2 linked regions of the Drosophila melanogaster genome follow. The protein of the gene in region 1 interacts with the protein of each later gene in a biochemical or structural test. Each region holds a gene or a part of one and is shown on either strand. Other genes may lie near its edges.

Region 1 (3,431 bases):
ATTTTATACGTCCGTTCTCGAGTCGACAAAAAGCTCGGCTTTCCGCTTCGGCTTTCGGGATCGGGGGGCTCTATATATGTATATGCATATAAGTATATATATGTATGGCTAGTGCGCAGGCGCTTCGATGCTCGTGAAAAAAATATAAACACAAAGCAGCTGGCCGAGCTCAGCTGTTTCTTAGCCAAAAGCCGGCAACAACAAGCCCCACATGTGGCCAACTTAGCCGAAAGGGGGGAGTTTATTGGTCGCCAGGGGGGGTGGGGGGTTTGCAAAGCTTCGGCATTGCCGACTGCGCAAAGACAATAATTCCATGTTGTTCTTGCCCACGAAAAACCAAATAAAGCAAGGTAAGCGCCTAAAACCCAAACAACAGCAGCAGCAGCGCCAAAATATCTGTGGGGCTTTAACAGGTGGCAATGTCATGATTTCACAGTACACAAAATAATATATCTTTACATACATAGATAAATATAGATATCTATTTATCTGAAGTCACTGGTTTTGAAAATGGTTCCGAATCTTTAGTAAGTAAGCCTTACTTAAGGTTTCATAAAAAAAATATATTATATAGTAAGAAGTGCACGCTAAGCATTTGACAAAAATAAAATGTATTTATATTTTAGAGCATAACCAATACAATATTACAGTTTCCTAACTATTAATTTGTTTAAATTAGTATTTAGCTGTAATATTTTCTTTTTCATGCATAGCGAAACAATTAATATATGTTTAAATGATTATCAGATGACATGAAAAAGTATTTTTCAATAAATACATTAATTTGCACAGCAAACGACTATTGAAGTAATAAATTACTGTGCAAATTTTATAACAAAATGTAAAATTTTTTATGTTTTATGGTTAGGCATTTTCATAAAAAAAATTGTCAATTTTTACTCCAAGTGCTCTTTATGAATATTGTCATTATTGCACGCAAGAATTGTGAATTTTCGGCGTCATTAAATTAACTTAATTGATTATTTTCGTTAAATTAATTTGCACGTTTTGTGCAACAATTGTTTACATTTTATCGGTTCATCTGTTGACTGCCAATTCGCAAAAAAAAGATTTGTCGCAAAAACTTCGACGCAAAAACCGAAGCAAATCAAATCAAATCGCACCGCAAAAGTAACGACTGAAAAACTGGACAAACTCGCTTTAATTAGAAGCAAAATAATATTATGTAGACGGTATAAAAACGATATTTGGTACTTAGACATGTGAAATGGTAAATATTAATGCGTGGCGAGTTCCTTGAACTTTTATTCTAATTTATTTATTTCACCCAAATCACGAGGGTAAAGTCAGAGATTTAACAATAGCAAAAAAACATGGATATGAATATTCTAATGTGCCAGATTAACGTTTATTCTTAATCAATTATAAACAGGCACAAAAACCTTAACAGAAACAAAACACATTTTTATATAGTTTCTAAACTCTCGAGTTTTTTATGAATTATTTTTACTATTGTAGTTTACAATTAGTTATTAGGCATAATTCTTATATCATATTTTTAAGCACTTTGTGATAGTTGTGACTGTTGTTGAAATTTATTTTCTTGAAAAGAAATATACATATTGTAATTTAGATCTTAAAAACTCATTATATGATCTATTTTTAAGGATCGTTTTTCAGCACTGATCATGGTTCTATGACTAGGATTTTATGAGTTGCCTGATCACAGAATTTTCGGTAATTTTAACCGCTCTTAATGCGGTCGCATTAAAAAAGCAGTTAATTACAGTTAGTTGCATTTTGCAAATCTTATTGCACGTTTTTTTTTGTCGTCTTTTTTGTGCTCGTGGAAAATATTATTTGTAAAATTACCGAATGGAGCGCTACAATCGCGTCTATAGAGGTAGTATTGCTAATACTTTTGTAAACAAGTTTAAAATATATCCTTTAACTTTCAATAGATCCCGCATCCCCACTGACCCCACTCACTCCCCTCTCCACCGAAGCTTTTACATTCGAAGATGTCACGCCCACTGGAGGCGTTGGCAGGAAGGGTACCGCGAGATACGGACTCTTTGGAATGCCGAAGAACAATAATCTTACGGTTCCTAACAGTCGACCGGCATTGTCCGGGTTAAAACGACTATCGGAATCCACTTTGCCCCGTCGATTTTCACAGAAATTTATGCGCACGCGTTCCGTATTTTCGCCCACAAGTCAAAGTACCCTTATAAATGGGGAGACCAGGCTACTGGGAGAATCTGGAGATTCGAAACTACTGAGAACTAAGAGAGAAGACAGACCAAAGCCGGATATCCGACTGCAGCAGGAAACGCGGCTGAGGCAGGAGGAATCCAAGTTGAAAAGTGCGCGAAAGATTAAAGTGGAGGACCCAAGAAGTCCCACTCCCAGTATCCATCATTCACGCTATAAGCCCTGCTCCCCGGTGGAGCACCCCACTTTGAGTCCTCGGGTCAAATCCCTGCTCGATCGCACCGGAAACGCGCATCTCACAGAGCTGTTCACGCGCCAGGAGATCGACATCGAGGTGCTCATCCAAATGACCCTGGAGGACTTGGCGGCACTGGGCGTTCGCGGCGCCCGGGAGATCCGATTGGCCATGAATATTATCCAACTGGCCAAGCAATTCTTCTGATTTTATATCCTGTAGGATTTCTGCTAATTTTAAACTGTTTTATGTCATGTGGATTTGAATTTGTATGTGAGATTTTAATAAATGTTTAATGTGGTCTTGAAGTATTTTTGCGCGGTGATTGGGGCTTGGGATTGGAACTCTATTTTTAATTTAATATTCATTTAACATTAAGTAATAATTTTTCTCAGTGTATGAACTTAGCTAAAAACATTAGTAAAGTCACAAACCATAGAGTAAGTCGCATTAATCCATGTCTGAACGGTATTTATTTTAGTATATTTTTGCGGCACGCTAGTATGCTTCAAAAGTCGATCCGCGGTCACACTGAACACGTGTTTCGAACAAAAAGCCGTTTAAACAAAATATCCACGTTTTTATCAAAAAAGCAATGGGCAAAGTGAAAGTAGAGCGCTCCGAGGATGCCGATGAGTCCGTTGTGGCCAGCGGCGATGTTACCATCAAGGAGGAGGAGTCCTACGACGACAAGCTGATCTTTGTGAACGCCATCGCGAAACCGATGGCAGGTAAAAAACTGGCCAAAAAGTGCTACAAACTGGTGAAGAAGGCCATGAAGCACAAGACTTTCCTGCGAAATGGACTTAAGGATGTACAGACTCGCCTGCGCAAGGGCGAAACTGGGTAAGTGCTGCGTGATCCGTGACTGCAAGACAACAAGAAATATACCCACATCTTCTCCAGCATTTGCATCTTTGCTGGCGACGTTACACCTGTGGACATCATGTGCCACTTACCAGCCGTCTGCGAGGAGAAGGGCATCCCCTATACCTACACCCCCAGTCGAGCGGATCTTGGA
Region 2 (3,546 bases), on another chromosome or scaffold:
CTGCCAATCTTCGGTTGGTGTGCTAAATCACACTTAAAAAAGCTACAAGTCCCATATCACGGAGCGGTCCGTCGCGCCATTCACGCATTTCCCACATCTCCAGTAGCGTGCACATTGGCAGAATCGGGTCTCCCGAGTATCCAATCACGCGTAGAAGAAACTACATTGATGCTTATCCCGAAGCTGTACACCACGTCAAACTGCCTGCTAACCAAAGACTTCGGAGCCATATTTAAACAAAAACGGAAATTCAAGTGCATATCCACCCTAAGACGTTGCGCCAACTACATCAAGCTACTTGACCTTCCCCTGCCTAAGCCCAGGAGGCCCTTCAAATCGCCAGCACTTTGGGGTTCCAAACAGCCTAACATAAACCTTCAAATATACAATGCTGCCAAAAAGGATACAGGTCGCCTAGAATACCAAAAACGTTTTATGAGCGCACAAGAAGATCTTGGTGTGAAAAACTGGATCTACACCGATGGTTCTAAAGTCACCGGCGCAACTACTTTTGCGGTTGTTGACTCTAACCGTAAAATAATTGCAGGAGGTAGGCTTCCGTCCTACAACTCCATATTTACAGCCGAAGCTTTCGCCATTCTCAAAGCATGCCAATTCGCTTCCAAAAACGCTGGAAAATCTGTTATCTGCACAGACAGCCTCTCCTCTCTTTCCGCTATACGCAACTGGAACCATAATGACCCCACAACACAAGAAGTTAGGCACATTCTAAGTTCTCACCCAAAAAAAATCACCTTACTCTGGGTTCCCAGTCATCAAGGTATTCATGGGAATGAACTTGCTGACAAAGCCGCCCAAGAGATGAGGCTTACACCATCAATCCTGTTCACTCCGTTTAACTCCAAGGACCTAAAAAGTCGAATCAAGTTATACCTCAAAGAAAAGAAACTCTCCGAATGGGCACTCTTCATGCACAGGTACCAGTCTATCAATCCGAATTGCATCATGTTCAAGCCACCAACGAACGTACATAAACGGGAATGCGCGACCTTTATCCGTCTACGCATCGGGCACACCCAATCCACACATCAACACTTACTGATGAGATCGGCGCGACCAACATGCCAACTATGCGGGGACGAGCTCACCGTTGACCATATTCTCAACGCCTGCAGTCAATTGCACTCAATTAGATCTCACTTATTTGGTACACATAGTCTCTCGAATTGTTTAAGTATCCCATCCTGTGAAAATATCTCAAAAATTTACAAATTTGTCCAAAAAGCTAAGTTTATTATATAAAGCAATTAACCCATAAGTCTCGAGTCGAAGGCCCCCGTAGCTAGTACTCATTAAATTTAATTAGGTTTAGTATTGTATACTATATTTAATTTTGTTAAATAAAATAAATAAAAATTTAGGATAGTCATACTTTTCACATGGATGGACTTTTTGAATGGGGTTAGTTCACGATGCGTTAGTTTGATTAATTAACCAGACTCTAATAACTTACTTTCATTGAGCACTGTTGCTGCTGGCCAGATGAGCAATTTTCATATGGGGTTTCCGAAGTTCCGAGTTTTCGGCTTTTTCCGATGGAACTGTGCATCTCTTGTTTCGAAGCAATCGATAGATGGCGCGCTTGCGCTTTTGCTGGCTAACTGTACATCAAGGCGGGATCGCGGATTACGCTTTCGGAACTCTGCGCACTCGAGATGGAACTGGGTGACTCTAAGCTGCGTGCGGTAAGGGTGCTGGGCCAGGGCACCTTTGGCCGGGTCTTCCTCTGCCACCAAAACGAGGTGCGCGGACAGCCGGAGAGGAAGGTGTGCGTGAAGCGGATCATCGTCCGGAATCCGAAGACAGAGTTGGGATTGATCAAGGAGGAGGTGTACATCATCTCGCAGCTGCGCCACCCGCACATCGTTGAGTTCCTGCGCTCCTTTAGCCACGCGGGCACTGTGAACATCGTGATGGAGTACGTGCCCAACGGCACCTTGAGGGATGTCATCCAGCAGCTGCCGTCAGGCACCGGGGGAGTCAATCAGGAGCGGCTGATGGGCTACTTCCGCGACATGGTAGTGGGACTCGAGTACCTGCACATCCGCTGCGTCATCCACCGAGACATCAAGCCCGAGAACATGCTCCTCGACGCCAACGACCGCGTCAAGATCGCCGACTTTGGGATCGCGAACGTTCATGCGCCCAGCACTCAACTGCAGGCGGGCATGGGCACGCCCATGTACATGGCCCCGGAGGCGATGTCCAGCCAGGGCAAGGTGGATTTCAAGTCGGACGTGTGGTCACTGGGGCTAGTCCTCTACGAGCTGTGCCTCGGACGCAGCCCCTTCGCCGCGTTTCTCGACAAGAACGCCACCCCTGCCCTACTGCACACCGTAGTCCAGGCGCTGGTCCGCCCCCGGCTCGACTGCCAGCTCATCCGGCGTCTCTACGATCCCGTGTGGGCGCAAGTTTGCGAGCTGATGGTCGTTTACGAGCAGGAGCGCCGCATCTGCCTACCAGACATCTTCCACCTCGACGCCGGCATGACTGTGACCCTCTACAAGCATTACTTCAGCTACAGCTACTAACGGAAGCCAATGGTCAGCTCACCAGCACGAGGAGACCTCAACAAATATTTCATTGTACTTAAGAACTAGGCTAGCTTAAGCGATAAATTAAGGTGTGTGCTGTGCTTTGTGTGCGCCTGTGCTTTTGCCAGGGGATCTGTCAGCTATAAACAGTATATAATGTATATTCCAAAACAGTCTCGCTCAATGTCATTAACGTAGTCTTTAATTTACATTTGTTCACCTATTGTACAGTAACATTAATCCTCTAAAGCTTCTGGCCCTGCTGCTGCAGCTGGATCTTACGCTTCAGACTCTTTACCAGGGCGTTCTGCTCCAGCTGCTGCTTACTCCTCTTGGGGGCTACCTGCTCATCCCCATCCGCATCGCCGTTTGCAGCGCCGCCCTCCCCCTGCTCCTTTCTGCGCTTTAACTTCTCGCCGATGATCTGCTGCATGCCCTTGGTGGGCTTGTAATGGGAGTGGGTGGGATCGATGTTGTACTCGTGCGACTTGTAAACGGCACTGAAGCGATTATCATTCAGGTTTACCTGGAAGTCGTCGTCCAGCTTCTCCGCATTCTGCGGCTGATTTTTCGATTTCTTTAACTTCTGACGACGCTTTCGCTTTGAACCGCTCGCTTCTTGCTCCTCCTTCTTGAGGATTTTGGTCAGACTGAAGTGTTGCTTCTCGTCGCGCCCGTCGCCATCGTCCAGCAGTAGCTCAAGCTCCTTCTCTTGCCGCTTCGCCTCGACGTCCTCCTCTCCATCGTCCTTTCCCTTCTTTTTCTTTTTCTTCTTGTCCTGCTTCGTTTTAGGGGGAGCGTAGTCTCCATTAGCGAACTCCTCGGCGAAATAGGCGTCATTCAAATCGATGCCATCGGGCACCATGGACTCATCGCTGTCCTCACCGGCATCGCCTCCTCTGGCTTCGATCTGGCGCTGGCGGCGCTGTTCCTTGCGCTGCCTGTTCTTCTCGCTGCGTTTCTGGATCACCTTCTCGATGGGCGTGAGCTC

What was found.
Region 2: of the proteins of gnu (region 1) and png, one has a biochemical effect on the other in vitro, tested with the Drosophila melanogaster proteins (2 studies listed by BioGRID).

Annotation. Positions count from the first base shown.
Region 1 is NT_037436.4:14,801,665-14,805,095, reverse strand, and holds gnu (giant nuclei), read left to right. Parts: upstream 1-1,735; 5' UTR 1,736-1,836; coding exon 1,837-1,864; intron 1,865-1,922; coding exon 1,923-2,617; 3' UTR 2,618-2,716; downstream 2,717-3,431. Other genes in the region: NHP2, read left to right, coding at 3,006-3,256, 3,317-3,431.
Region 2 is NC_004354.4:1,355,664-1,359,209, reverse strand, and holds png (pan gu), read left to right. Parts: upstream 1-1,608; 5' UTR 1,609-1,676; coding exon 1,677-2,552; 3' UTR 2,553-2,722; downstream 2,723-3,546. Other genes in the region: CG11417 (uncharacterized protein), read right to left, coding at 2,800-3,546.